Linked DNA regions of Daphnia pulex. The protein of the gene in region 3 binds, or shares a complex with, the protein of the main gene of each other region. Links are inferred from orthologs where the notes say so. Each region holds a gene or a part of one and is shown on either strand. Other genes may lie near its edges. The genes, in order: WASH complex subunit 5-like, WASH complex subunit 3-like, WASH complex subunit 1-like and WASH complex subunit 4-like.

Region 1 (7,922 bases), on a different chromosome or scaffold from region 3:
CAAAGGAGAACGAAGCCTAACAACCGGAAGAGTCACTGCGATTTCATTCCACAAGGAAATGCGAATGCTACCCAACGGCAGATCGGTGTAACTGACTAAAGTCTACAGCACAGCTCCGACACGTTTTCTCTCATGCCATAGGTCATAATAACTGTAAGGCCACATAACTGCATTACTGCATTGACATTTTGTATAGCGACCAAACGCCTTCGTTGAGTAGGCTGTTTAAAAAGGCGTGACTTATCAGACCACACTTTTCCCATTGTTCCAGCAACGCAAGTGTAGTTCCACTCTCACTCGGGATTTCCATAAGATTCTCTTTGTTGCTAAAAAATTAATACAAATAAAAATCGATAATAAGCAAAAGGGAAAAAGAATCCATAATAACTAGTGCAATATGATAAGAAACACAATTTGATTACCTCGCTCCAAACTCCAAGTGAGAGCGAGCAAATTGGATTAAAAGGCAGCAGCATGTCTGTGTGGTCGTCGGTCCTAGATGGCGTAATATTGTGGCAATCCCGGTCACAAAGGGAGTCCCGTCCACGCCATCCTGAGATCGTCTAGACACCAAACTAGCAAGTTGCTTGCTATAGGTAAACTTGTGTACATTTGACACAATAAACAAGAGCAGCAAATGGGGAATGTAGGGCAGGTCGAGACTTTGTGTGGCCACATAAATCTTCTCGAAAGGCTCGTAGAGACCGGACCAGTGTAGGTACTCTGCCAATTCAGGGAGAAGTGATGTGGAAATGGAATCGGAATTTTTGTCTCTATGCACCACGTCATTCACTACTGACCTGGAATGAAAAAGAAAAAAAAAAAAAGAAAACATATTACATGTTTGAAAGATAGATTGCCAAATCCCGTCGCTAGAGAAATTTATCGACTAAACATTGTGAACAACAATGGTAACTTACAAACTCAGTGTTTCGAGTGCTTGCCAAAGTAGTCCAGAGTCGAATGATGCAGTAGACTTCAGCTGTTGAGAGCACGATCGTCTGAGTAATTGCAATTGCCCGATTTTCAGTACGCGGTCAAGGAGCGTCTGAAAAGATTTGTGGAAACGCGTACAATAAACCCCATATGTTTTATTTGGCTGGCCTGGAAAAAATAAAGGTAACATTCATATCACTATTAACGTTGGTTCGAGGGAGAAGAGAAATGCCAGTAAATAGTAAGTCAAAACCCACCGAGGATCGCCGTTGTTGGAGCGGTTAAGTGATCAAATTCCGCTAGAGCTTCCAGAGAATCTTGATGGCGAAAAACCTCCTTATTCAAGTCACTGAAAAGGTTCTTTCGAAGAAAATTTATATCATCAAAATACCAAAGCACAAAGATGTCAAAATGTGGCTATTACAGTCAATTCAGTGGTGATCATAAAGGCAAAAAGGGTGTCTAGTCCAGCCAATCCTGATGTACTTAGAGCCCGCTCTAGCTGAGAGAACAGTAAGAAGTTTAACACTTCTGTTTGAGATTTGCCGTCATACCAGGTGTTGGTGAACGAAACAAACACAGTTGTTCTATAATAAATACAAAGTTATTGTCAGACATAACAAGATATAAAGTAAAAATATTTACTTGGGGTCAGTGATACGCAGAATTTCGCGGGCTAATCGACCAATGAACGTAGCGGAATGAGGATCGTTTGAAGACATCCGGGGAATTGGTACTGCGGTTGACTGGAACTTACTTTGCCAATCTTGAATATGGTTTGTCTGAAATGTATTGCATTCCTGTTCAACATTGTACCCAACGATTCGCGCTGTTTCTTCTTGAAACATGCGAAGACCTTGGATTCGTACGTAATCTTGGATGTACTCAAAAGATTTACGGAGTCCTTCCATGGTTTCGCCTAAACAAAAAAGAAGATTAAGAATTAAAATTTAAACGATATTTTCAAATCAAAGCATATTACCTAAGCCGTTTAGCTTGTGAGCGAGATCGCTGTTCTTTGCTTTGGCATTGAAAGAGAGCGAAACGTGCATGGCCATCGCCATTCTACGTACTAATTCCCGGCGAATACCCTCTTCCAGTAACCGTTTAGGATCCAGACGGACTATACCAACTAAAGTTGTCTTCATAGCTAAAATACCCTCAGTAAACGTTGATACAGATTCTGTAAGCTTGGCAATCTATAGATATATTAGAAGGGTTTAAGGGAATTATATTTATTCGATTTTAACAATTTGTTAGAAATAGGATACCTGAAATCGCTGGTCCAGTTGTGCGTAGTCCTTGAGTTTGTCTTTATCTAGCCTCACTGGCATTTCTTTGATAACATTAGTCTGGAGTTGAACAATTTGTTCGACTAATTGAGTGGCAAATGAAATTGAAATTAATTTCAGGAATGATCTTGTTTTAATTAAAATTTTACTACCTAAGGCAAACATGGATTGCGGAATTATATGCAACACATGACGAATGTAGGAGACGAGTTCGGTCGAGTAATACTGCGAAACTGAAACCAAGTCAGCACTCCGTGCTTGATTAATGCGCATCAAGGGTAAGTCGAGAGCGGAAGACAGTTTTAAAAAGGTTGCTCGTAAACGACCCACTAAGGTTGGATCTTTCCGAATTGCTGTCTGCATGTGGCCCGTGTAGGAGTCAATTATTAGCCAAGCATAACTCAGATCCGAGACTATTTGGAGTGTAATGAGAAAGTCCTCTCGAATGTTTGCGGTACGAATCATATGGTGCAACTGTCGACGGGTTTCTGTCAAAAACTGCTTGACTTGCAGCTGGGACTCGAGTTGATGAAATTCTGCAATCAAAAAGTGGGGATAGCTTATTATGTGAACTGGAAACACTTGTTAACGTTGAGAGCCTATACCTTGAACTTCTTCGAGGGCAGAAATGAGCTGAACCATTTTACGGCCGGAAGCTGTGCCTTCTTCATAGTTTAGTGCTTCAACTTGCTGAGCGATTTCCCGAAGCCACAATTGAAGACTCTCGTTTTTGTCAACTCGAGTCAAGGGCTTTGCTCCGCTAAAAACATCAGCTAATTCTGTCAGTCGTTCCATACACTCATTTTTGCATCGCAGCCAATTTGCGCGCTTCTCCGTCAACAGAGTTCGAAAAGTCTCGCGAACATTCAGTTCCAACTCAGCGCAGTCCAGCAGCAATTCGAATACTGTAACGGGTTGATATTTCGAGTCGTTGAGAACTTGATCCCGTATTTGACGGCATTTTTTAACTGATTCTGCGCCAGCTGTTAATGTGTTTGTATGTAAGAGCATCCATCGTAGAGTAACGTTTGACTGTCGGATCAAGTTGATCAGCTTCTGCATATTATCTAATAGGAATTCTTCGGTCAGGACTCCTTCTTTGAGTAATTGACGTAATTGTGTTATAAGTTGGTCCAATTGGTTGCTATGCTTAACTGAACACTCTTTTACATTGGCAGCCTGCGCTGTGTTGCTGAGTGCCATTCGCGCCGCTTTGTACGGCTCCCATACTTCAATTAAGTTGAAAATTAATCCCATATAAACACTGGTAACCTAGAAAAGAACCATACAATTACAACATATTGGAGTCGTTGGTATCCGGAAGAGATTAATAATAATCTTAATTACCCAATTATCTGGAAAGAATTTGTCAACTATTTCTCTCATTTTTGCTGTTTGATTGTGGAGAATATCAGGAGTGAAATAAAGACAAATCACGAGCATGGCTGCTTGTTGAGCAAGTGCAGTGCTTCGGTGATCAGGATGCGGATGGGTTGCAATTTGGTGATAGATATCATCTGATCTCAAATGACCTATTACTACATCCAAATAAATTGGAGCAATCGGAATACGTCTAAGAACAACCACATATAGGCATTACTTAAAATGAATCAAAAATAATAGAATTCATTCTACTTGAAATAGTCTTCTGGGTAATGTTGAGGCCTTTTTCCTGGCTGAGATTTCAAAAATCCAGTTGAACGCAATAGCTGGCATACTTCATCCAACTTGGAATTAGAATGAGTTCTTTGAACAGAATATCTGTAATAAGAGACTAGCATTCTCTCCCTAACAGGCCCATCAACATGATTATCTATGACTAGTAGCATGATGCCATATAGATAAAGTGCCTCACACTGCAGAGGAAAAAAAGGTTAGTTTAAAAAGGTGAAGCATATATAAAAAATTCATTTTTATAACCAACCATGAGCTGTTTGCCTTCATCATTTAAAATAATTGTTTCAAGAGTTTGTTGGATATAAATCCCTTCATCAAGTTCATAAAGAAAGGTGTTCAAATCACAGACATACTTGTGAACACTTTCAAATGCAAGATAGAATCTTGTTAGGATTTCAATATAATTCTTTCGTAACTCCTCATCCAATTCCACTAAAACCTAGAGTAAGATGTGAATTTTTAATGGAGAAAAAATCTGAATTGATAACTCACTTACATCGCTTCCATTAATCTTTGAATCAAAGACATCTTGTTCTTTAAAATATCGAAAATCCAATACAATTTCATGATATTTATTTTGATCGGACCTTACAATGAAAACAATAATAATAATAAAATAATATAACTGGATTTATAGATTTTAAGTGACTATTACTGAAAAATCTGTGGAATAAAATCCTTTAGACGTAATAGTTCAGCAATTATTGCATGAGCTCTTGAAACCAATCTCAAAAGGGTCTGTCCACACAGATTATTTTCTGCTAAAAAATCTTCAGCCATGATTAATTAAACTTGACTGTCGAGCCGGGCGTATCCATAGAATAATAAATTTAGGCTAAATCTGGCTAAATTCTAAATTTATAATCTCGTCTGTTTACGTTGATCACTTGTCAAAACTTGTGAAAAATAAAGGCACAGGCCTGACAACATGCGCTAAATCTTTTTTCGTTTATAGATGTCTCTGCTTTAACAACCATTCCAATTTTTTCCGGTAAATAGCTAAAACGTGACGGCTAAAAGGGAAATAAACATAAATAATTATTTCATAAAACAAAATACAATAATTTTATACAAAATTGTGCGGCGTACGGAAGAAACGGAGATTTTTTCCCCTCAGGATTATAGAGTCAATTTAGTCCTTGGTTCCACATTCAGTTTCGTGTGATTTTTTAAGGCTCAGGTGTCGCACAGAACACTCACGTCACGGGGTTTGCACGTCTCAATTACCAGCAATCAATATCAATGACAAACATGGAAAAACTTTTATTTACACTTTCCCTGAAAAAAAACCATAACCTTGAATTTTGAGAATTCAACTTGAAACATTTCTCCGTTGGTTAGTTATTAGTTAACACGCTAAAACCCGCACCCCCCGCACGACTACGTCTGCCTAACCTTTTTAAAATTTCAGTTGACTAATTCGATAAAGTAAACACATTTATTTTTTAAATAATGCACTCCATTTGCTAAATGTCTACTCCAGTTAATGGCTTCCCTATTAATCAACTGGTAGCTACTAAAACTCGTCGTATAAACTTTAAAGCCGCCATGACCAAACAAGGTCCTTGGGTATACGCCTTCGGGTTATTGTGGCTATTGGGATAACTATGTATTCGTTTTTTGTCATCCCCCCCCCCCCCAAGATGGCAGTACAATAGCTGGAAATAATGGCAAATGTTGAGGTGAAAGAGGTGGCAGTAAAATCGGGGCAATATATAAACCATAATCGTTCATTTTGTAATGATGGGTGTGGTCGCTAGGGGAACCATATGTATAGGGTAGTGAGGGAATGGTATCGTTAAATTCGTTATGTGCAATCTTTATGCATGGCTGTGTTCTTAATAGAGTTTTTTATATCGGTGCATCATGTCGCACATTGCAGGTCCGTCGCCCAAAAAATTTAGGTCGTCTTTGGCGACTTCATTGAATGTTCCTGTGTCCAGCAATAACCAAATTTCCCATACAGCGATTAAAGATCTGTCTTTAGAGAAACAATCGTAAGCACAACCGTGATGTATTTTCTATGTATATTTTTAAATAATCATTTGCGATTTAACGTAACCGTATGTCTGCGCTACAAAGGTCTAAAAATGTTTAGTGGATGTCATGTGATTTCTTATCGGCTTCCCATTGGTTTAAACGTTGTGTGAACGGTTTCCCATTGGTTCGGTAGTTTAGTCATGTTTAGGGAACAGTTGGCGTTCACACTTTGCGCTTTTCGGCATTATTTTCTTTATCAGCTGAATCTGCGTGAAAAACTACAAGGAAAGATGTAGTTTACATCGTGATTAGTTTAACATTTAAATTAGATATTTGTAATGTCAGAAACGCCACAGTCCTGGTATTGTGAGCAGCGTTCGTCATTTGTTTTATGTTTTGATTGTCATTTCTAAGGGATTCATTTATGTAGTTTACATGAAATTACAGGGAATAATATAGTTGAGTTTCGTTAGGCACTTCTAACGATTTCTTTTTATCGAAATAATTGTTTGAGCCCCAAAACACGGCTATTTTTTAAATGAATAATTAGGAGGTTGTCATTTTATTTCAAATTTAACGAATTATTTTGACGTGGATCGCAACACGTCGGGACCATCAAATCACAAATGTTGTTACTCGCCAGCAAATACTTTGTTTCCATGATCATGGAAAATGGAAAAACAATGGAAAAAATCTCGTAGGCGGCATGCATCAAATGGCCATTTTTATATTTCTATTATTATTATTTATTTGTCAAAAGAGTGTCCATCAAGTGTCTCATTTATTAGAAAATGGAGTATTTCACTGATGATGTTTGGTTTACGGCACTTTAGCCAAACACCAGACACTTGATTGATAGGAGATTGATAGGAGAATAGGAAAAATGCAAGAGACACGTTGATCAAAGAGATATGCAAATTACGCGAACTGTTCTTAAAATATAGATGAAGTCCACAAGGGAAACTGAAAAGAGCTGTTAGCAGTAAACAATATCTAGCGATAGCGGTGGGTTCCATTATTCGTCGGATTTTGACCAAAACATTTAATGTGCACCAGAAGTTGGCAACATAATCTTCAAAAATTCCGCGGTTGAAAGGAAAGACTCTGGAGAGAACTTGTTGCAAAAGCCCATTATGAAATTGTAAAAATAGATACCAAATAATGGTAAAAGTGGCCAATGTTACAATCCCAATACTTATCAAATTTCAAAGTTGATATTAAGGAGGAACCCCTACGGTGACAAGAAGCCAGCAAATAGAAGAACATGGGTATAGCGTGATAAAGCTCCATTTGCTTAAAGTTTAGTTCTGCTGAAAAAACAACTTGAATGAGGTGACCAGGAAAAAAGATTCTATCGTGCAAGCTCTTTCAATGAAGCCAAAGTGCTAATAGCCAGATTTAGAGGAATGCAACCTATGATAACAAATAAATTAGCTTGTGACACTTTAACGGTAGAACATATAATTGGATACCTTGTGGCAGGACAATATTCCCAAGACAATGAGTGAGACGAAGTTAGCACAAAGAACCATAGATGCTTCATTGTTTTGCACCGTCTTGAAATTTATAAGCCAATTCCAAGGCATCAGGAGCTGTCAGTGGATGATCTTTTGATAGACCAACGACTATAATATGGAGTAAAATGTATCCTACATGATGGAAATTAGTAGTCAAAGTCAGTAGTCACATGAATATTCCAACGAAATTTTTAAATACCTCCATAATTTGTTGAATCCATTTTTCAGAGAGTTTGGCTGCAACACGTCACGATTATGCACTAAGTTTTTTGTGCACTGATACAAATTTAAAACAAACAGAAAACATGACGTATCCTAGGATGCAATGGCTACGAGTCTTTCGACCACGCTTGACAAAAGTAAAGGGAATGAAAATTGCGGAAAGAAGTAGTGGAAAATGGATACGGGCGTTCACATGCTAAGGCTCACAAACATGCAGTTGCCCTAAGACTAGAAAAGCTACACATGGGGATTACGGAAAAAAATAAATAAAAAAAACTTAAACAGATACGAACGAAAA
Region 2 (7,004 bases), on a different chromosome or scaffold from region 3:
ATCAAAATAACTACCTAAAAATGACACGTGAAACTAAACTTGTATCAATTTAATTTGAGCATTTTTAGGCTGTGAAAGATAAACGAGTAAAAACGCTGTTGGTCGCTGTCAAAATGCCCGCGCGCAGTCTCTGCACCACCAACGAGAAATAAAAGCCGGCCGCTTGGCGTCATCGGTTCGATACCGAAAACTGCCGGTCGTGTGTGTGTGACTGGAGATTAACAATTTCAGTGAAAATAAATTCACGACATGTATCAAATGCATGAAAAATTACTTATTAAACATGTCATAACGACGGGACAATGACCTGAAGAAACTATCATGTACAACATAACAAATAAATGGAAAGTTATGTGTGTGTGGTGGAAGGAAGCTAAGGCAGCCCCAGCTTAAGGACAAACATGGCGGCGCGTCATCGCGCGCACACACACACACACACCGGCTTTTCGAGAGAGAAGTGAAAGGCTATCAAACTCAACGGCAACTCTGCTCAACGCGCCAAAATTCTCGAGTCCAACGCTCGAATTCGACTCTGACCAAATAGTTGTCACATAATTTCCCAAATATCTAATGATTACGATCCCTTTTTCTTAAAGAGTAAATATTCCAACAACAGTCATGGCGACGGGATAGAGCGTGGGGCTCAAGCCGGCCCCAGACACACGCACTCAACACACTACACACATACACACACACACACACACAAATGGCGGCAAGCACGCGGCGCGTGGGTTCTCGAGTTGATCCTTAATTTAGCCATAACGAAACCCCTCTTTTCCAACAAATTTCCTCGTTACAGACTTATTCAGAGCCGACATGAAGACAATGTAGTAAATAACAAAAAGATGGAACTTACTTCTGCTGGCCGTTTTGTGCCTTTGACTGCATCTTTCTTGGCGTCGGCGGCGATGACTTCGTCGGCTTCAACTTCCTTCGTTGCTTCCTTGGAACTCATTTTGTTTGGAGGTGTGTTGTTGTTGGTTGGTTGAGCGTGAATATTTAAGTGAGACGAAATCGAGTGGATTTTGCTCGACCGGTTCGAAAAATTATTTTAAAAAAGACTAAGAGAAGATGGAGAGTGCCTTAAAAAAGGAAGTTTGGCGCGTTCGCAAGAGTCTCTGCTTTCGAGGTGTTATAGACGGGACGGTGTAGAGCACACTGGTGGGGCCCCAAGTCTTTGGTGACTTGCATCGCCTTGTATCGGCCTCTAGCGGGGGGGTTGTCCTTAGCCTCGGGTTTTCGGTGGCAAAGCGCGTCCCTTTTGCATTTCGTGGCGTCTAGATCGAATCACAAGACCCCTGTTGTATACCAGCGCTCCAGCTGGATAAACTCCGCCCATTCCACTCTTTTCATTATGGGGAGAGAGGGGGGTAGAGGGGGTGGTAGGGTGGGGTTGGAAAAAGGTACCTTAAAAAACTCGGCTCTCCAAAGAGAACATATAGCCGTGTCGATATATTATATGCGCTGGGCTAGCCACGCTGCTACCCAGATGGCTCTGCTTGGAGAGTCCATTTTTCCCCTTCCTTCTCTCCATTCCTAGGTCTTCCAAGGTATTACCACCAGTATTAAAATATATATATATATCTCTCGCATGTATGCATATATACACTACTATACTATACCGGTATACTCAATGAGTGAAGCGTGGGGTGGTCAAAAAAGAACCAAGTCGAATATCCCCTCAAGCATAGCGAGAAAAAGCCGGTTCTGTGTAGCGTGGTCTCACTCTCGTACTTGGGATTTTCAACTCGGAAACTTTCCCACTGAAATTTTTCGAATTAAAAATAAAACTCTTGTTTTCGAATCGGTTAGCCGAAAGATAAATGAGAAACTCGCCGAAGCAGATTAGTAACTAGCACGTCACTAGACGTCGGTTGCACCACCAGCGTGATTTTTTAACCCCTCTACCGGCCATATTTTTACTGGTTTATATATCATGGGTAGTAGTTGTCTAGGCGGCGGATTGAGAATCCGCGCGAACCAGAAAACAAAGAAACGCTCATCTCACGTCTCTCCCTCATCTCCCGAAAATACCGGGTAGTTGACGTTCTTCCAACTAAAAGATAATAGCCTTATCTTCTCTTTATCCCCTACAGACGCTCAAAGCGTGGTCTACAACTAGATTGTTTGCATCAAACAGATAAATGGAAAAACTCTTATAATTCGTAACCGACTTGTTTATAACACACTTGTCATTTCTTTTTTTTCGAAATTATTTACTCTTCAACGACATTTTTCAAGTATTCTCGTACACTAAGAATGACCGGAAACTCGTTCACACGCATTTTAACAGACGCCATTGAATGCTTCACTCTTTTTCTATTCTTGTTCTCTCGCCATCTACAATCTTCGTTTTCTCTTCGACATGTACACCGCGAACGCGTCAACCAATGACGAAGAGTTTTCCTTATCGCTTTTTAGACGATCGAAGCGTTCAGTCTAACCGTCCGATTGTGGTGTCGAGTTGGAATCATCACTCACAGATGGCGTGATGGGCTTCACACTACTTTTCAAGAGCTAATTAGGATAAAAACTAAGGCAACTCTTAACTACTAAGAGCAAAGCTAGATTTAACTAAAGCTAGCAGATTTCTCACATGAATACTTGGAATCAATTGGTTGATTTTTCACCTAGCAAATATTTGAAATCAATAAATACCCAAATGTCTCGCATGGAGCCATTTCCCTACATTATCATAGGGATTAAGGAAAGTAATGAAGACTAATAACAGACTATAGGCGCCAAAGATGTTGTATTGGCCAGCACAAGGTGATGACAAACAGTCTAGAACTGAATCATCTGTCCCTTCCTCTTCTTGTCACCTCCAAGTTCAAAGTGCTTGCAACGCTTGAGGGGGATCTGCTTGCGGACTTTGCATTCTGAGCACTCCATCCTCAGGACAATCTTTTTAGTGGTCTTGGCCTGCGTAATTCAACAATGAGAAGCATTAGTACACAATTCAAGTGAACCAATCTTTAAGTCTTCATACCTTCTTCCTGAAAATAGGTTTGGTTTGACCACCATAACCCTTTTGTTTTCTGTCGTAACGACGACGACCCTGGGCAGCACTACGCTCCTTGGATTTCTTGTACTGCGTCACTTTGTGGACCTTGTGGGTCTTGCATTTTTTGCAGTAGGTGCGACGACTCTTTGGTACGTTCACCTAAAACGAGATCAACAAGTCATGAGCCGGTGTTTTCGACAACAAATTATGACAGTTTAAATGCACAACATACTTAACAACCACATACTTACAACTACAAAGAGAAATTTACACCTTAAACTTTTAAGTAATGCTAGTATTAACAGTCAAAATAACATGTCTAGTCAAGGTATCCATATGACAGACAGAGTGACAAAACAGATTTTATACCAGTCAAACGAAAAGTCTACCAATTGACACAGAATGCTAATAAACATCATCGAATTCTACTGCAAAAAGAGATGCTATATAAACATATAAGATGGTTAAATATCAAAGGATGTTGCGAGATATTAAATCGACGAGACTATACCATTTTCGGACGAACAGGCGAACGAAGTGGAAATGAGACAGAATTCTCTCCTCCGGATTGCAAGTGAACAACAGAGTTGCCTTGTTCCTCAAATAATTCGACCGCTGCGCCTGAAGGGGATGGATTCTGTGTCGTCTGCTAGAAGAAAAACAAAACAATCAAACGCGACATTTATCCCATGGATGTGATTTAATAATTCGTATATTCCACGTCGTTCTAATCAAGGAAGAAATACTAAGGGATGGAAAATAAAGGACTACCTTTTTTCGGTCCTACTGTCGAGTTCTCTTCGGTTCGTTTGTATTTTTCATTTTCGTTTAAATTGGATGATGGCAGTAACACATTTTAATGTTTGACAGGTTCCGCCCATCGAAACTAAAAGAATTTTGAGCTATTTCAACCAGTTTGTTTCCAATTCAGTTCAGTTACTAAACAAATTTGCAATTATATGTGATACCAAATTGCTGGATCTCAACTTTCGACTACAAGATGTTGAAGCCACATTAGCCATTCTCGAAGCAAAGGTAAATTCCTTCATTTAAACATTTCAATTCCACCAGCTCTTCTTTAAAGATGCATAAATAGGGAAAATTGGTATGAAATTAAATTTTCATGAGAAACAAATTTAGATTAAGCAAGACCATACCTACTCAGTTATTTAACAATACATGTCGAGCCAACTCACTCAAGTGTATCACTTTGGGGTATGTTTATCATTTATAGACAATGAATGGCTGATTCTTTTTTCTTTTGAAAACAGTTGGCTTCAGTTCCTGCACTGGAAACTACTTCAATACCGGCCATCCCACCTACAGTGCCTGCCACCAGCTCAGAATCTGTACCAGTGGCTGCAAGCGTTCAGATCCTTCCATCCGCCGTTCCACCAGTCTTTCCTGAAGATGTTTCTAGCGTCCACCAGACGGCGGTGGCGCCTCCGAATCCCGAAATCCTTCGGTTCGTCAAAATGCTTGCCTTTGGGGTTCCGTTAATGGCCGTCGAGCAGAAAATGCGAGCAGAAGGTTACGATCCATCGCTGCTCAACAGCGGCAAAGTTGACGTCACCAAGGCCCCACCAGCACCGCGATCAACCCATTCGAGCTCCGACGACGACGAAGAATCAAACAGCGACGACTATTAACACAAATAACAATTAATCATTTTCCCCGAGACTTATGAAATTTCAGTCTTATCGTGCCTGTATACTTGATGCATGGAGAAAGGATTCCGATCATACATAGACATAATCAATTCTCGATCGACGGTTGTAACCGGAGAGCCTTGATGAGAGAGTCCGAACGCGTGATGATTTATATGTTTGGCCCCACGTATAGACAATATACCACAACAACAACAACAACACTCTTGAATAATGCATGTCAAGAAAAAGAGTCACGGGCCCAGCACTCAGGCCGATTGCCAAGACTCGTACGTCCTTGAGAAAAGCTTCCAGTTGTGCGTTAGACGGGAGAGATGATCTCTCCGGACAGCCCACACGAGGATCCCGACAGCCAACCCCACCACTCGGCAGATCCAGCAGTTTCGACGTATCAAAGCCCCCCCCGCATATTGATTTGACAATGACACAAACAGGCCTCTAATATCGTGTTAGTGCTGCAAATCGTCGGTTGGGTTGGTTTTTTTAAATTTTTATTTTTTTTTTCATCCTCTCCCAGTCGAGTCAATAAAATGAAATGCAACTAAAAAGGGGTGGTGTATTTTTAGATAACACGGACCCGGCGAGTTTAATTTTAAAACAAGCTCGTCGCCCAGCTGTACACCTCGGAACTCTGGAGAAAAAGAAAAGAAGAAACTTGGAGCTCTTTTCTCCTAGAGTCAAACATTTTCCACGAAACCTATACACACACACAACACTCTTGGATATCGTAACATAACATTCAAATGTAAACATTGGTCTCTTATATGTATAGGTCCGAGTGGCAAGAAGAGAAAAACTTTGGCCCATTTGGAAAATAACAAGAACCCCATTTCTTCTAGCTCGCAGAGTGTGTGGTGTGGGGGCATCCGGCGGGCAACAGTAGCAGCCCATTGGACCCGATTTTGAGTTTCTTTTCTTTTATAAACGGAGACCGTCGACGACTAGCGTCCGTGGCAGGAGCGAAATGTGGAGCACGGCCGTGCTAAACTTAGAGCCTCTTTTTACCTAGCGACTGACTCACGACTCTATTTGTGTCGGTGATGCGGGCGCGGTGGGTGTCGATCGTCCCGACAACTTCAAGACAAACACACACACACACACTTACTTACTTGTACACACGATATATACTGGCTTGATATGTTTCAGCTGGGCTACAAGCGTGTGATTCATTTGAAGCCCAGGGATTGCTGGGAGAACTATTCGATGAGTCTTAACGGACAACATTTGAACGTTGATACGCACGCACGGCGTCAGCGATGAGCCACACCGCAATTTTGTTTTTGCTTTTCTTTTGTCCTTGGTGGCTCAAAGATGTGTAATCGATCCTGGAATGGACCGCGTCTATTTTCGGTTGGGAAAAATACAAACGAGAAGAAGAATGAAGATTCCTGATGATCTTTTTGTGCGCGCGGGGGTTTTAGATGGTTTTAAAAGCGATTCAGGAGCGATATCTTTGATGCTCAACACCTACTTGGGAGCAGTCGAAAGGAGGAGCCCTGCAGGAATTGAAAAGGATCTATGGGATCCAACCTTCTATCTCATATTGAGGTCTAACAAATTCTTCAAAGGAGGCCACACCAAAAATTCAAAGGCCAAGAATATCAGACAGCTCATTAGCTAAATGGCGGCTGACCCTTTTGCGGCGGTGTCCCGAGTGTGTGGCACTTTCCAGCTGGCACGGCCGGGAAATGGCTTTTTGCGTGACCCCGTCCCTTGGCTGGCTGTTGGCGTGCCATCTCATTTCCATAGTGGTTCCACAAAGGAGCTGATCATCTAGCAGGACGGGGGGGTTTCGTCATCGCGGGAGAGAGAGAAATGCTTCTCGTTCCAGGCGCAACTTTCTCAAGTCACACCCACAATTTGTGCGTCTGGAATCCTTCCGCCGGTATAGTAGCAGCGTCTAGCCGGCCCTATATTTGGGCATTGGTCGAAAAGGATATTTTTTCGGAAGATTTTTTTTTTGAAGAACGGCTAGGAGCTGCAGAGAATCCGGGCAATATCACGGGTAAACGGTTTCCCCTATATCCCCCCTCACTCCAACCGATATAACTCCCGCAAACGCACGCGCTCTCTTTGACGATGACATTTGTCCGTCCCCGGGGTGACAGATTTCGTCTCGATCGATCACGTCACAAGACCCGCGAGGGACATTCGCCCGCTGGCACTTCTCCTATCGCAAATGGATAACAATTTTCTAATAGGGAAAACATTTTGAAGCGCCTATATAAGAACGCTCGCGCTCTGATGCCGTTTTCTCATCTTCAAAAGTCCCGCGCGACTATTTTCGACAGAAGAAGAAGTACTACACAAGAAAATAAAATAAAATGTCGGCT
Region 3 (7,675 bases):
AGGCGGTGCTTCCGTCTGCCTACCTTGTGCCCAGGGAGCCGATGCATCCGGCTGCATCCCTTGCCCACCGGGTCACTACACAGAAGCGGCCTCGACTCATTGTAAGCCATGCCCGGCCAATACGGTTGTCCTGGATCCAGGAGCCGTCGGCAAGTCCGCCTGCATCAACTGCGGCCCTGGACTCATCAGCACCGACAGCAAGACGTGCACGACCGATTGCACGCCGACCATCAACGGAACTCGCTACGACCTGCGTAAAATCGGAAGGTAACGCTCATTCCAATTTTCTTTTGATACTTTTTCTATCAATTTATTTTTCCCCATTGAGCAGCAAGTTCCACGAAGTGCGAGGCAGTTTGCTTTTCACCGCCAGCGGCATGCAATACTTTCACGTGTTTAACATCAGTCTATGCGGTCGTGAGCCGGTCAATTGTGCCAACAACATCACATTCCAGGCCGAGGGCGAGCCGAAATCAGTTGAGTTTCATTTTCTTTTTTTAAATTTATTGCTAATTTTTATTGTAATTTATGCTTTCGAATCGATTGCAGGTGAAAGCGTTGATTTGCCGGACGACACTGATACCTTCACAGAGTGTGGATGCTTCCGGCGGAAGCAGTCCCCTTTCGACACAATCAGTGACGTTAGGTGACCACCTGCTTGGCATAACCAACGAAGCCCAGTTGGGGGAAACTCGGGTCCTTGACGAATTCTACAACCCAAAGGACTTGCACGTCTTTTTCGGCACCCCAACGTAACAATAAATTCTTGTCGCGTCATTCTTCCCCTAAATTTGATTTCACCCTTCGGTTGTTTTTTATTGGATTTGTCCTTGCAGGGCGACCAAATCGTGTCCGAAAGGAAGAACAACGACAGTCACCCTACGTTGCGATGCCGATCAACCGGGAGCTGGCCAAGTGACTTTACCGTCGCGCTGTCCGGACGGCACATGCGACGGATGTCACTTTCATTTCCTCTGGTCGTCCAGTACCGTCTGTCCCATTTGTGGCGCTCAGGATATTAAGTTGGTCCACTGTTTTTTGTACAAATTCAATTTTGAAATCCCTTGTGACGACGTCTGCCATTTTACCCGCAGGATCGTTAAGAGCGAGTGCGTCGCTGGGGAGCAGAATGTTCACTACTTGGCCCCCAAGCATTGCCTGATGGCCGACGATGTTCCCGGAACAAAGAAAGTTCCCTGTTCGACTGAAATTCCTTTTGTGTTGCAGGTAAATAAAAACAAGAAAAAAAGGGAAAATAATTCTCATTCATGATGATTATTATTTTAAGCTGATTACTATGGGTTGTGTGGGAACGGCCGTCCTCCTCTGTTTGACCGTGTTCATTTGCTGGAAACGCAACCGTCGACTCGAGTACAAATACAGTCGCCTAGCGCGACAGCGCTCCTCTACACCGAGCAACAGTAGCGGTGGCAACGATACGACCTCCAGTCTCAAAGACAATGGCAGCAACGAATGTGAAACGGAATTGGCGGCAGCCGAAAGTTGCGCTCTGGATGACGACGAAGATGAGGAGGACGAAGTATCGGTGACTGTTCCTATGAAAAGCTTTGGTCTAGTCAACAAAATACGTTCCATGACTGCTTACAAAGTAAGTTTCAACCTTTTCCTTTTTTTAAATCAAATAACTGAATTTGTTTTCATGTTTTAGAGCGAATCTGGCAGTCCGTTTGAGACAATTCAATTGACGGAAGCACAATCTTAGAACGACGAAGAAAAATGACAGAAAGAAAGTTTGAGCTTGAAATTTGCGATTTTCTATATTTACTTATTCGTTCTTGTGTTGTTGTTTCTGAGGCTCGCGATTGTATTTCTTTGTAATTTCAATCGACAAAAAAAATATATATCATTTCCAATCTTCAACATCATCTGAACTGGAGACGTTGGCGCCTGCTGGATGAGGAGGAGGTGGAATCATGGCGGAAATTCTTTCCATCGGGCCGGCAACCTCTTGATTCTGACCAGAAATTCCCTGTACAACGTAATCGGGTAAAGTTAATACTCATTTTCCTTTTCAAACGTAACGACACACACGAAAAAGATAAATGACCTTTCGCCTCATGGAAAGCTTGTTAAAGAGATCGGCCATCAAGTCGCCCGCCGGAGCTTGATGAGATGTTGAAGCCGAAGATTTACTACTGCCACTCTGCTGTTGCTCTTTAACGGCCTGCGTGTGCTTGACACGAGCAGAGGATTTTAGTTTATTCAATCCACCCGCTTCCCGAATGGCCGCCATCAGGTTAGAACGATCCAGCGGCGCAGCGCTGGGCTTGGTGCTCGGAGCTGGAACACTTGGCGATACTTTAACGGCTGGCAAAGAAGGAGGAGGAGGTGGTGGTGGAGGTAAAGGAAGATTGACTGCAGGTGGTGGAGGGGGAGGAGGAGGAAGTGGAATTGTTGCTAAAGGTGGTGGGGGCGGAGGAGGTATTGAGATGACTGGAGCAGGAATGAACGGCGGAGGTGGTGGTGGAACGGGGTAATGTTTAACAGTTTTGATGTTTTCAGTTAGTTGAGATAAATCGGGCAGGGCCGCTATCAGTGAAGGTGCGATCCCTGGGCCAACGTCTTCGTTGTAGGCCAAATCATCCGCAACGCCTGGCAAGTCTGGAAGGGCCAAAGGAAGATCCAATTCCGGAACGTCTCCCAGTCCTGTAAAGGTATTAAAGGATAATTTTTAAAAAAAGTTCAGTTAATGTAACATTTAAAAATTACCGGGCATGTAGGAAAAATTGAGAGGATTGCTTCGTTCAAGTTGATCTCTTTGACTACTGATGGACCATGGGGCTTCTCCGATTGAAGTGTCGGTAGAGATTTCGGAATCGTGTTTACGACGCAGAGTTGATTTAGAAGATTTATCTGAATTTGACTGTCTCTGGAAGGCCAGATCTTCTGTGTTGAAAATCAAAAGTTCTGATACAGAACTCGGAGGAGCAGGTGTTTGACGTCTTGTTCCATTTTGTTGATGTGTGGGATAGAAAACCATGTCTCCATCCACAATCGATTCTGAACCATCAAAGTCTATTTTAGTTCTGCTGAATTTCACGCTAGTTTTATGGAAAATGCTTTTGCTGTTGGCCTGCAAATTCCCAGGAAATCTTGAACTTGAAAATATCTTGGTGGCCTTGCGGCTGCCCTTGAGTCCATCAATCTTGGACTGTGCAACTTCAACTCTCTTGTGAATGTTGCTGATTCTCGTTCGGCTTTCCTGAATTTGTTGTGTAACCCTGGCAAAAATATCACTAGACACTTGATCCAGAAACTCTAACGTATCTGCCATCTGAGTGATCATTTCATTTGGACGCAAATTGGACGACACCAAAGGTATTTCGTAAACCGCCATTTTAATATAATGTTCGCCTATTAATGGTTTGAATTAAAAGTCATGTTATTTAATTATTTAATTTGTAATATCGGGAGATTACTCACATCACTCACATGAGTCACATTATTGTTGACAAATTACTACTATTGATCGATAGCAGACGAAATAATAATCCGCCTCTCAAAATCCTGTGATGCCAAACCTGCAATTTGTAATTGATACTTTAATTGAGTTTATTAAAAACTCTAAATTATATGAAATTGAACTTACTATTGGTTTCGCTTCACAATTTAATTGCGATATTCACATGATAAATAATTTGTTATCGAGACTGCGGCGGTGCGGCCACCGTAATCGAAACTGGAAACCGAGAACGAAAACAAATAAAACCACGACAAAACCTTGCGGTCCGAAAGTTTTTCCTTGATATTTGGTTGAGAAATAAAATTAACTCGGTCGATTAAGACTTAACATTTCGTGTTTAAAAGAGAAAATAGACGTAGAAGGAACTTGTAACGGTGAAAGTAGAGCAAGAACAGAGGCTAATGCTCTTTTATTAGAATGTGGTCACGGACTACTTAATCTCTCGTTCATTGCCTCTTTACGCATTCGGAGAAGCATTAAAATCAATTTCAATTACACTGCCAAAGTCAAAGAGTAGAAAACAATTAACGGTGGATCTCCAAATTTACGCGAATCCATTTCGATATCAGTACTCAATTAATTATTCGACAATAATATTCTATCTATAAAGCCATGTAACGGGATGAATTTTATAAATTTTGGGTTCTTCTTTGGCTTTATTAATGTGGTTCTTGAGGAAATTTGGAAACCGGTTGCGAAATGACGACGCCATTGTATCGATCAGCCGACGACGTCCCCTCCTCTCCTGACGTTTTGCTCAGTTGCGGCCCCAAAATAATCGAACCATTCGTAGCCGCTCTTTCTTTGGAGAAAGTCGATACAAACTGAAGGCTCTTTTTGGTAAGTTAACTTATTCGCTCTCTTTCGTCTCGCGGTATCTCTGTTTAATTTCAAAATGTAGCGTTTGATCGATCAACCAAAATACGCCATGTACCAATATAGTTAAGAAACAAGACAAGACTAGGTCTCATTTTAATTTTGACACGAATGAAGTGCGGATCGCTTTTGAACTTTTTCGTTTCTTTCGCCACGTCCCAGACTAACAACATGGCTGTTACTCTGGACGACAAGACCGTTGCTGAGCTACGTAACTTGGCCGACCGGCTTCGTATCGACTCCATTCGTGCTACTAATGCCAGCAAATCTGGGTAAGACACCTCACATACAAGTCATTTATGCAAATGTCATTCTAATGTGACATTCCTGTTTTTAATTTAAAGGCACCCAACGTCATGCGCTTCCATGGCAGAAATCATGTCTTGTCTCTTCTTCCGTGTCATGAAGTACAAACTGTCTGAGCCTAGAGACAAGTCATCAGATCGTTTCATCCTGTCCAAGGGGCATGCTGCTCCAATCCTGTATGCTGCCTGGGCTGAAGCTGGCCTCTTCCCTGTCGATGACATCATGAACTTGAGGAAGTTGGACAGCGATTTGGAGGGTCACCCTACTCCCCGTCTCAACTTTGTTGATGTTGCCACTGGATCCCTTGGACAAGGTCTGAGTGTTGCCTGTGGAATGGCCTATGTGGGAAAACACTTTGATAAGGCATCTTACAGGTATTAATATTTCTAAGTCATTTTGACTCTGGTGATCCAATGTTATTTTTGTTTGACAGGACCTACTGTTTGATTGGTGATGGTGAAAGTGCTGAGGGATCCATTTGGGAGGCTCTGCACTTTGCTGGCCACTACCGCCTTGACAATTTGTGTGCAATTTTCGACATTAATCGTTTGGGCCAATCTGAGCCAACCTCTCTCCAGCACAACATGGAGGTCTACCGCAAAAGGCTGGAAGCTTTCGGTTTCCACGCTATCGTTGTCGACGGACACGATGTAGAAGAACTCTGCAAGGTATTATTCAAATAGATTCGTGTTTCCAGTAACAAAATGTAAACAAAATGTTTTCTCAAGGCTTTCGATGAAGCGTCTGCTACCGTTGGCAAACCCACTGCCATCTTGGCCAAGACTTTCAAGGGTTACAAGTTCCCATCCATTTCGGATGAGCTTGATTGGCATGGAAAGCCTCTTGGTGCTAAGGCTGATGAAGTTATCCGAGCCATCGAACAACAGATGCAACCCGGAACTGCCACTGGTGCCCCGAAAATTCTCGAGCCCCTCAATGACGCACCAGTGGTCGACATTGATGATCTCCGTCTTTCCACACCTCCTGCCTACAAAATGGGTGAAATGGTCGCGACTCGCTTCGCCTACGGAACTGCTTTGGCCAAGTTGGCAGAGCACAACTCCCGAGTCATTGCTTTGGATGGTGACACCAAGAATTCCACCTACTCTGACAGAATCAAGAAGGTAATTGATTTTATTGGTCATTGTATTCTAACGTTTTGTTAATTCTCAACTAACGCTATTATCAGGTGTCAGCCGAGCGTTACATCGAGTGTTTCATCGCCGAGCAGAACTTGGTGGGAGTAGCCATCGGAGCCGGATGCCGTAATCGCACCATCCCTTATGTCTCTACTTTCGCCGCTTTCTTCACCCGAGCTTTCGACCAGCTCCGCATGGGTGCCATCTCGCAGACCAACATTACCTGCGTCGGATCACACGCTGGAGTCTCCATCGGAGAAGATGGCCCATCTCAGATGGCACTTGAGGATTTGGCCATGTTCAGATCCATTCCAGGTGAGTTTAAAGTGACATCTTTTAGGGAAATGTTTGACTAAACGAATTATTATTTGTAGGCTCCACCGTGTTTTATCCCAGCGACGCCGTCAGCTGCGAGAGAGCCGCCGAACTTGCCGGAAAAACCAAAGGAATTTGCTTCATTCGTACATCTCGCCCCAACACAGCCGTCATCTACGAGAACGAACAAGTTTTCTCTGCTGGAAAGGGTCACGTTGTTCGTAGTCACGATCAAGACGATTTGGTTATCGTTGGCGCCGGCGTTACACTCCACGAAGCGCTGAAGGCGTCCGACATGCTGATGGAAGCCGGCATCAAGGCTGCTGTCATCGATCCATTTACCATCAAACCCATTGATCACGATTTGCTGTTGAAGGAAGCCACTCGTTGCAACGGCCGGGTTTTGACCGTTGAAGACCATTACCCAGAAGGTGGATTGGGTGAGGCTGTTGCTTCAACTCTAGCCGAACAACGAAATATTATCGTCAAGATTTTGGCAGTTCGCGAAGTTCCCCGCTCCGGTCCTCCAGAGGTTCTCCTAGAACATTTTGGAATCGGCGCCAAGGCTATTGCCGAAGCCGCGAAAAAACTTGTTGCGTTGTAAACGCCCTTTTTTTAAGTCACTCATTCCTATACCCATTCCTTACCAGAGGTCTATGGATAGTTGAGAAGAATTGGTGGTGTTTTTTGAAACATTCTTCTATGGCATTCCAAGTCGTATATGTACCGTTTGGATAGTTTATTCATACATAGCTTTTTTGGTGTTTCAAATGATTTTTATTTGTTAGCATTATTATTCAAAAATAGAAAAAAGGGATGCATACAAAATGAACAATTATTAGGATGCTTCATCATCGTTAAGAAGTTGCTGTAATCCTTGGATAGTTGAAATGAGTAAGTGAAATTGTTTGCGTCTTTGTTCTAATTTGGCCTCCAGTTTTTGACATTCACATTCTGAAGCTTCCAGTTCCTGTCGCAATAGGGATAATTTCTCTTGGTTGCTCTTTCGATCAGGCTGTGTTTGAATAATGGCAGCCAAAGCATCATATTCCATTTTATTCCTGCGAATCTGTCTTGCTTCTTGCAACTCCTTCTTGGTTGCTTCAATGTCTTTTTTAGCTGACACAATTCCTTCTTCAATCTGGTTGTAGAGGTCGTCATAGTGCTGCTGTTCTGCAGTGTTCATTTCACAGCACCTCAAGGATTTTGTGGCAGCAAATTCACATTGGGCAATCTGACCAATCATTCTAGCGTAGGATGCTTGTCTGTAAAACAAATAAAAATACATCACATATAGAGTATAGAAGAATTTTATACAAAGATTAATTTACGTTTCTTCAACACTATCTGTAGAGTTGCACCAAGCTAGGAAACCTTTAAGCAATACATTAAGTCTTCTTTCATCACCAGTTCCTTCGCCATCAAACAACAGCCTCCTTCGGATGATCTCTTCTACATAACGAAGTACAAGATGAAAATTAACCGAAATAATATTACTAACAAGTCAAATTACCATCTCCCATTTGTGAATAATGATTGGGATCAAAATAAGACC
Region 4 (8,144 bases), on a different chromosome or scaffold from region 3:
TTGTACACTTTCAACGAACCGTTAGATGGCACCAGGGAGAAGCTAGTCATCCGAACCTGTACCCTGGAAAACGTAAATATATAAATAATAATAATAATATTATAAAAAACAAACAAACAATTTGAATTTTTTAAAATTACAGATGGAGAACCAGTGCGGAGAATTCAAATACGAACACGAAAGTCTGGCCGGATGCATTCTGACTTGCCAGAGCGACGGATGCAATGCGGCAACCAAAAACCTGATGCTGCCCAGTTTCGCCACCGCTTCCTCATTCTTCCTCATCTACAGCGCAATAACTCTACTAGTCAACGCGTCACCATCAGCATCAGTCTGATGATGAACCGGAAAAACAATTTCCTAAATGAAAAATTCAACGTACAATTTTTAAATAATTCAAGTCGAAAATTTGTTTTCTTCCGTCGTCATTTCTTTGTGGGGTTTTTCTCGATCCGAAAAAATAATCCTTTTTCCATTGTATTTAATATTAATTGTAAACAAAATGAAAGTAAATGAAAAAGTGTTTCACCGCTTTCGATTGGTTAATTCTAATAAACTTGTTCGATCCACGACGGTGTTATTTGAGAATGTGAAAGAGACTAGATGGAAGATGCTGGAATAACGGGCCGTTCGTGGCGGAAAAAGATCCTGGCGCTGTTCAAGTTGTAGAATAACAAATCAAATTCCTGTCAAACGAATAAAAATCATAAAATTATGTGACAAGGATTTGATTTCCAGCTTTTACCTGTCGATAAGTTTCTAATCGGTGGAGGGTCAGACTCAGCGTGTCCTGACTGGCCTGCGATTGGAGTCCGGCCATTTTCCTTTCGCGCTCGAAAAATTCCCTGACGGATGAGAACCACTGCAGGGCGTCGAAATCCTTCCACTGGTCCAGAACGGAGAGGCAGTAAGCCAATCCCATGGCCAGTCCGTCGTCGGTGAAGGTGCACGTTTCCTGCTTGTTCTTCTTCATCAGCTTCTCCTTGCAGGTGACGATGTGTTCGACGTAGTTGACCGTCAGCGGCGGAACGATGACGTAAAAATGGCGCAAGTGAGAGTGGCGAGGATCGCGGAAAAACGGCCGGAAGACGTCCACCAGCAGTTTGAAATAGTCGGAACTCTCGGATAGATTCTGAGCCAGATCGTCCAGCACCTTGTCCAGGGCTTTGCTGGACAGTTCGGATAGGCTAGAGAGAGCCGGATTAGATTTAGCTAAGGATTCGAATAATCCATCGGCCATGTCCATCGTATCGTTGTGGTTTTTAAGGCTACTGGCACTGCTGCCCAGTTGATGATCCAGTCCAGTTTCATTGAGATAAACCAATTCCGCCAAATCCGGAACCGGAGCTGGCAAAAAAAAAAATAATTCATTTTGTGTTGAACATCTTTTTAATCCGGCCGGAATGATGAATAATACCACAGGATTCGGCACTGCAATGGATGGATCCACTTCTCAACATCCTGACGTAGCCCAAAGCGTTTCCGAGATGGGTAATGAGTATGCGGAATTGGTCCAGATAACTCAATCCGATGGAATTGAGTCCCAATTTGCGGATGCCCCGATGGAACTTCTCGGCGCGCTCGTACGGATATCGGAGTGCCGAATCTTTGCCTTGGCTCAGCTCGCGCAAATAACGAGCATCTTTCATCAGCCGCGACTTGATGTGCTCGTCGTACAGGAACCTTTTTTGGGCGGGAAAAATTCAAACGGTTCAACATTTAAAAAATAAAATAAAAGTCTGAAAATTTCATTTACTGAGAAAAGACGAAAAACTTTTTGCGGAGAAACTGGTAGGTGAAATTGACGGCCGTGTTGACGACGCCGGACCCGTGGGTCCTGATGGAATTGGCCGCGTGTTTGATGCCGATCGTGCTCAAGTGTTTGCTGGTGCTCGACTGCTCGACAAAGAACTGGTTGTTGAGATTGTAGCCGAAACGGGCCACAAACAGGTGAATGTTGCGCATGATTTCCAGGACGTCGAGCCCTTGCTCCAGGGTCTGGCTGGGCAGCCGGTCGGGCAGCGGCTTCAGGTTGAAAGCCAATCCGGCCAAGAGTCTCATCTGGCCGTACTTGCGCCAATCGTGAGAGGCCAAAGCGGCCAGATTGTAGAACGTCTGGCCGAGATAGTGTTCCACCCGGTGGGGAACGCTCAGCTGCTCGTGCCGGCCCAGGGGCAAGTCGCCCAGGGCGCTCAAACAAGGCGACTCTTTGAACGGGTTGCGGGGCGTCGGGTGGAGATGGGCGTGCGACTGGATCCGTAATTCCGTCTCGACCGAGGCGCACAGGGGCTCCAAAATATGGACGTCCAGGGCTCGGCGGATGAATTTCTGATGGCCTTCCACCAGCTGTCGAGGATTGGCCAGATGCTTGACGCTGGCCAGAGCCGATTCACAGTCCATGACGGCCATCAGAGTCTGTCCAATCCGGGACGATTCGAAGCGTCTTTCACGGGCTTCCGGCAGGTAAGTGTTGAGGAGAGATTTGTGCCAGTAAAAGACTTCGCAATCGGCCAGGTAACTCAAGCGGTGGCGTATGCCAACGGAAAGCAGCTCCATCTTCTGGAGGCGATGGGCCAGCAAGGACAATTCTTCGTCCTGGAAGGCGGTGCAGGCTATGGCCAGCGAAATCCTGGCCGTCGAAACACGGGATGATGTGCAGGGACCTTTCAGGACTCGCTGGGCCAACGCCAGAGCCGCGCTGACCGTCTTCCGGGGACGTTTCTTGCTGCTCTTCTCGCCGGCTAATCGCTTGGCGGCCAACTGGACTACGTCGGAGACGGAACGACGGAGCTGCTGTTGCAGGTGCATCCAGGCTTGAGGGTAATCCGTCAGCTGTTTCTCGATGGCCTTTTGCAAGGTCTTGATGAGCTCAAACGTCTGAAAGGCGGCCATGACTGTGCCTTTGGAAATGACTGGCTGGATGGCCAAGTGGAGGTTCAATATCAGACGGACGACGCCGCTCAGTTTGGCCACGTAGCGAAGTCCCTGCAGGACCAAACAGCACTGATTGGTCAATTCTTCTTGACTGTTGACGTGCTGGCCGCTCAGCCTCGACAGCCAGAGGACGATTTTCGTGTTCCACATTTGAAGGTCTTTGGCCAGCTGCTGGGAACGCTGGCGGACGTACTGGAACCGGGCAGAGCCGACACTTTCCAGCATTTTGCTATCGACGGCCCGGTCTCCACGGGGTAGATAGAGCGACAAGAATTGGTCAGGGAACCACAGACACGACCCGACCAGAGGGACGGCCATGATGGAATTTTTGGCGACATCCAGGATGGTCTTGAGCTGGCGGTTGTCCACTTTCAGGCCAATGTGAGCGTGCAGGACAAACAGGCAGACGATGCTGAGGAACTTTTGCATGTTCTCGTAATTGTCCCGCTCGCCTTCCTTGTCCAGACGGAACGATAATTCTTCGAGGAAGCCCTTGACGTTGGCTGAAATCTCGTCCAGCAAGACTTTGTTGTTGCTGGTGGGGAAACTCTGGTTCATGCATCGGAGGAAGAGCGTGCCCGAAAGAGTTTTCTCGGTGATTTCGTCGAGCGACAAGTCCAGCAGCCGCAAATCTTCCGGCGTCGTGTCGAAATTGGAGGCGTTGTGTTGAATGGATCGAACTACATGCTGCAGCTGAGCAACATGTTCCCTCAGCAAGTTGTTTCGGTTAATGATGGAATCCAAATTCACAAGGATTGACTGAAAAGCAAAGAGTGTGTGTTAGTTTCGGGATATTTTTGAGAGAAAAGTTGAGAATTAAAATACCAGCACACATCCCATTCTTTCGAAAATGATTTTGAAATGGGTTTCGCCAATCTCAAAGTATTTTGGTCCAGCGTCTGAGCTGCAGTACAATCTTGAAAGCTGGCCCACCATGTTTTTGATCACTTTGTAGCAATAGTTGACGTAGCTCAACAACTTTTGCAATGTTTCGACCATTCTACCGGCACATGCATGGCCCTCTCCAGACTGCAGAGCTTTCTCGTCCACACCCTCACCGTAATAGAGGAGAGGGTAATAGAAGGACCTCCCCTCTTCAACCAGAAAGTCCATCTCGCTGACTAAATGCCCCAAAGCCAGGACGACTTTTCTCAGCTCTTCGTGATCAGAGTGGACAAGGTCGACTAGGGAGATGTCTTCGCTGGGAACTAAATCCAGACTGACTGTCTGACTGACATTTTCCTTGCTCAAATTTTCGTGAATTTGACACACAGCTTCCAGATCCGAGCCACACTTGACCATGAACTCGCTATATTCTCTTGCAACATATTCTTTGGCCACCTCTACATTAAAAAAAGGGCAAAAGATTAGTGAAACTGATTACCACAACTAAAAAAGAAACCAACTCACTTTCTGCGGCATATCTCCCATACTCGTGGTTGGAAACTGTCGAGTTCCCATTCATCCCTACCATTTTCAAAATCAAAGCAACACGATATTTCAATAAAAATCAATTAAATCATTTAAAAAACGCCCGTGACTATAATAACACGTAAACAAGCTCTGGAAACACAAAAAAATAATCTGAATCTTCAAATTCTCGGAATACCAAAGTCGTCTGCTAGATCACAAAGTTGCCAGATGGGATTAAATCGAAACAGTTCCAATTTTTCCAAATTGGTTAATTTACATCTTTCGATGATGTAACATTAGTGTAACAAGGGTATTGAGATAACAAAGAATAACTGTGACGTAACAACTATAAATGGTCAATCGAAAAACATTTTGATGTGTTTCTGGCGAAATGGTTTCCCACGGTCTAAAACATCGTGAGAAAATAGATTACGGGGAACCTGGGCCCAGCAATCGATTGGGGGTGGTGGATTAATCTCTCCCCCTCACCCCAATCCAATATGATGAAAACTAATGACGCCGGGTTGATCTTGTTTTATACAACCCCAGTGGGAATTACGAGAGGAGTTAGACGGTGGGGTGAATTATTCGCACCACCCCGAAATGTCTGGGTGGGTGCCACATTCTTTCCTGGACAACCGTACTACTGGGCAAATGGTGAGAAAAAAGTGAACGCGCAAGGTCACCCACACCGGACAGGTCCAGCAGCAGTAGCATAGATATACAGCGGCTCGATTTAAACAACCCACCTGAGATATGCCAAGGGTCTCGACGGATCGGACATAGCGGATGAGGTGCGAAATCGAAGAATTTTCTCACGATTCCGCCCCAGTACCCAAAAATTATTAATTGTAACTTGTGAATCTATATATCCTGGGCGCCCGTCTTTATTTTATTTCGCTCCACCCACACACAGACATCACCCAACCCTCTTGGTCCACCTAAGTATATGTAGCCGGACTGGGTGGCCCAAAGTATTTATTCCCGTTCTGGCCATCGGCCGAGTATCACCACCAGCTACTTGCAGCACCACCACCAGTTCTTTTCAACTTTTCAAAACTTTCACAGTCAATTTATCCCCCAAACAGAAAATCGTAACACTTGTACGGCTTTGTTTATATTTTGTTAGTTTAGTGGCCGGCCAGTTCTATGTGTGTGTGTTATGGTGGCTCACTGATTGATTGATTTCTTCCCGAGTGATTGAGAGGATTCAGTGTGTGTGTGTCTATACTGTTAACGGATTTCTTGTATCTAATCAACTCATCGCCCAATCAAAGAGAATGCGCTGTCACTGGATCAGCAGTGTCTTATTCCTGGCCGTCATCACCATTCCACAATTCGCTTCGTCCACTTGGTGGTAAGTTGAGAGATATCGTTTGTGAGTGAGTGCTGGGCTTAAGTATATAGATTTCCCCCTACCTGGACGGTGAAGCGGATGGGAAAGGGGTTAACCGATTTAGGGAAGTTGCACTAGTGCTGGATGGCCGGCAACGTTTATAACGAAATTTTCTAGGATAGTGAGAAACGGTGACAGCCATTTTGCTAGGGTTGCTTCTCTATGCTATATAATCCTGAGGGTTGAAGGGTGTCTCAATTTCACGTTCGCTCGATTGCGTCTATGCGATAAGAGCGTGAGTGCGTGTAAATAAGGCTTCCGTAATTACTTATAAAGATACCACCGCTCAGCTCAGCTCTCGTAATAAGGTAGAGACCAAATCCCCTGGACTATGTGTATAGGTATCATCATAGCATATCGGTCAAACTTTTGGGCACGGATATTATAAACCAATTAGCATATTTTAACCAAGAAAATAAAATAAAAAAACCCTTTTTCTGATTTTATTTTTCTTACCATTTTTTGGCCCAGGTTTTTGAGCAAATTTCAACTGGGCACGGCGGCTAATCCGCGGATGTATTGCGATCACATTCCGGGCATGGAGCGGAAGCAGAGACGACTCTGCCAGAAGCATCCGGATCACATGGTCCAGGTTGGCGAGGGAGCCGCCACCGGAATCAAAGAGTGCCAATTCCAATTCCGCCAGCACCGATGGAATTGCTCCACCATCGACAGGGACGCCACCGTCTTTGGCAAATCCCTGGTCAAATGTAAGACTCTAATTTATCTTGTATGTACATAAATTTAAAATAAAACTAAACTTGAATCATTTTTTGGGGTTTAAACAGCCGGAAGTCGAGAAGCGGCTTTTGTGTACGCCATCAGCTCGGCCGGCGTGGTCCATTCGATCTCTCGGGCCTGCAACCGCGGCGACCTATTGAACTGCGCCTGCGACAAGACAAGACTGGGCAAGCACCACGACCAGCAAGGCGAATTCGCTTGGGGCGGATGCTCCACCAACGTCCGCTACGGAAGCAATTTCGCCCGTCAGTTCATCGATGCCCGCGAGCGCAAGATGAGAGACTCAAGGGCCTTGATGAACCTCCACAACAACCGAGTCGGTCGAAAGGTAATTTAATTTTCACTGGCAATTTCAATCGAAATTAACAAATTATTCAACTAAAAAATGAAATAATTAATAGTTAAATGAATTAATATAAATGAATTAAATGAAATGAATTGATTTGAATTGATAGGCTCTTCACAAATTGATGAGGCATCAATGCAAATGCCACGGAGTGTCGGGCGCCTGCAACGTCCGCACTTGCTGGACGACACTTCCGGAATTCCGCGAAGTCGGCGCTTACCTGAAGGAGAAATACGACGCCTCGCTGGAGGTCAGTTCCGACCCGTCGGGCACGACCCTCATCACGGCCGACCATCTCAACGACAACCGCAAGAGTCTCAAGACCAATCCGCCGCAAGTTCACGATCTCGTCTACCTGGAACACTCGTCCGATTACTGCTCCTTTGATCCCCTCACTGGTGAGTTCAACAAAAAATGCTAATTTGATTCAATCAAATTCATTTAAATATTCAAATAATATTTAAATGAATTAACCAAATAATTCTTTATTAAAATATTCATATGAATTAAAATTAAAATATTCAAATTAGATTTAAATTTTATTATTTAAAAAATATTGAAATGAATTAAAACCAAATTATTTATTTTTAAATTTAAAATAAAGGTTCGATCGGGACGGCCGGAAGACCGTGTAATAAAACCTCGAAAGGTATCGACGGATGCGATTTGCTGTGCTGCGGACGCGGTTACGACACGAGGCGAGTGCTGGTGTCGACGCCGTGCAATTGCACGTTCAAGTGGTGCTGCTCGGTCGAGTGCAAGACGTGCACCCAGTGGAAGGACGAGCACTTTTGCAAGCCGCTGCAGTCGTTCGAACTCAACAAATTCAACGCCACCAAACAGCAGCAGCAGAATCAGAAGAAATGACACAACCGAATTAAATATTGAATTTTGACTAGACAACAACAAAAAATAATTTCCAGATATTATTATGTTATTATGAAGTATTTCTTCTTTTTTTTACTTTACCTTTGTCTCGGTGAGCGCATTGATGTACATAGTTCCAATTTTTAAGTATCTGAACAGAAAAAAAAATTAACTTCTTGAAATGATCGAATCGTCCACGTCTTTTTATTGTCCATTACGAGTTCGGATGAAACTGATTTTCTACCATCCAGCAGATGAGTGCCATTTAAGCTTTTGTCGAGAATGGGTGTGACAGAATTGACTCCGTGGCGGATGGTTATTTACTGATGTAGCTCTCCAGCTGATAAACAAATTTTCAAATGTTCTTCTCAATTAATATGCAAATGTTTTCCCATTGTTACAAACAATAAAATCGTTTTTGCTGAACTGATGGGCTTTTTAAATTTG

Evidence for each region.
Region 1: WASH complex subunit 1-like (region 3) and WASH complex subunit 5-like share a complex: the UniProt entries of both Homo sapiens proteins name them as parts of the WASH core complex. The link is inferred for Daphnia pulex from reciprocal best matches to the Homo sapiens genes WASHC1 and WASHC5.
Region 2: WASH complex subunit 1-like (region 3) and WASH complex subunit 3-like share a complex: the UniProt entries of both Homo sapiens proteins name them as parts of the WASH core complex. The link is inferred for Daphnia pulex from reciprocal best matches to the Homo sapiens genes WASHC1 and WASHC3.
Region 4: WASH complex subunit 1-like (region 3) and WASH complex subunit 4-like share a complex: the UniProt entries of both Homo sapiens proteins name them as parts of the WASH core complex. The link is inferred for Daphnia pulex from reciprocal best matches to the Homo sapiens genes WASHC1 and WASHC4.

The regions. Positions count from the first base shown.
Region 1 is NC_060017.1:7,245,600-7,253,521, reverse strand, and holds the start of WASH complex subunit 5-like, read right to left. Parts: upstream 5,476-7,922; 5' UTR 4,995-5,475; exon of another isoform or gene 4,978-4,994; intron 4,919-4,977; 5' UTR 4,686-4,918; coding exon 4,561-4,685; intron 4,493-4,560; coding exon 4,402-4,492; intron 4,345-4,401; coding exon 4,153-4,344; intron 4,085-4,152; coding exon 3,864-4,084; intron 3,802-3,863; coding exon 3,576-3,801; intron 3,501-3,575; coding exon 2,834-3,500; intron 2,765-2,833; coding exon 2,381-2,764; intron 2,312-2,380; coding exon 2,208-2,311; intron 2,136-2,207; coding exon 1,919-2,135; intron 1,856-1,918; coding exon 1,582-1,855; intron 1,524-1,581; coding exon 1,361-1,523; intron 1,297-1,360; coding exon 1,194-1,296; intron 1,105-1,193; coding exon 921-1,104; intron 801-920; coding exon 423-800; intron 327-422; coding exon 173-326; 3' UTR 1-172. UniProt on the Homo sapiens protein: Acts as a component of the WASH core complex that functions as a nucleation-promoting factor (NPF) at the surface of endosomes, where it recruits and activates the Arp2/3 complex to induce actin polymerization, playing a key role in the fission of tubules that serve as transport intermediates during endosome sorting.
Region 2 is NC_060025.1:877,477-884,480, forward strand, and holds WASH complex subunit 3-like, read left to right. Parts: upstream 1-3,646; 5' UTR 3,647-3,756; coding exon 3,757-3,807; exon of another isoform or gene 3,808-3,874; coding exon 3,875-4,039; exon of another isoform or gene 4,040-4,080; intron 4,081-4,161; exon of another isoform or gene 4,162-4,275; coding exon 4,276-4,653; 3' UTR 4,654-4,768; downstream 4,769-7,004. Other genes in the region: bacchus-like, read right to left, coding at 857-955; 60S ribosomal protein L44, read right to left, coding at 2,785-2,922, 2,990-3,163, 3,516-3,518. UniProt on the Homo sapiens protein: Acts as a component of the WASH core complex that functions as a nucleation-promoting factor (NPF) at the surface of endosomes, where it recruits and activates the Arp2/3 complex to induce actin polymerization, playing a key role in the fission of tubules that serve as transport intermediates during endosome sorting.
Region 3 is NC_060023.1:12,047,543-12,055,217, forward strand, and holds WASH complex subunit 1-like, read right to left. Parts: upstream 3,702-7,675; 5' UTR 3,611-3,701; intron 3,543-3,610; 5' UTR 3,359-3,542; coding exon 2,731-3,358; intron 2,668-2,730; coding exon 2,069-2,667; intron 1,991-2,068; coding exon 1,865-1,990; 3' UTR 1,760-1,864; downstream 1-1,759. Other genes in the region: endosome/lysosome-associated apoptosis and autophagy regulator family member 2-like, read left to right, coding at 1-267, 332-476, 550-752, 837-1,022, 1,095-1,227, 1,289-1,609, 1,670-1,723; transketolase-like, read left to right, coding at 4,532-4,632, 4,705-5,040, 5,100-5,334, 5,395-5,790, 5,856-6,120, 6,180-6,724; THO complex subunit 7 homolog, read right to left, coding at 6,959-7,385, 7,452-7,572, 7,634-7,643. UniProt on the Homo sapiens protein: Acts as a component of the WASH core complex that functions as a nucleation-promoting factor (NPF) at the surface of endosomes, where it recruits and activates the Arp2/3 complex to induce actin polymerization, playing a key role in the fission of tubules that serve as transport intermediates during endosome sorting.
Region 4 is NC_060026.1:1,372,560-1,380,703, forward strand, and holds WASH complex subunit 4-like, read right to left. Parts: upstream 4,584-8,144; 5' UTR 4,409-4,583; coding exon 4,345-4,408; intron 4,278-4,344; coding exon 3,760-4,277; intron 3,694-3,759; coding exon 1,757-3,693; intron 1,684-1,756; coding exon 1,418-1,683; intron 1,348-1,417; coding exon 746-1,347; intron 687-745; coding exon 600-686; 3' UTR 465-599; downstream 1-464. Other genes in the region: uncharacterized protein LOC124204736, read left to right, coding at 26-72, 143-337; protein Wnt-2b-A-like, read left to right, coding at 5,628-5,704, 6,215-6,453, 6,532-6,812, 6,940-7,228, 7,435-7,697. UniProt on the Homo sapiens protein: Acts as a component of the WASH core complex that functions as a nucleation-promoting factor (NPF) at the surface of endosomes, where it recruits and activates the Arp2/3 complex to induce actin polymerization, playing a key role in the fission of tubules that serve as transport intermediates during endosome sorting.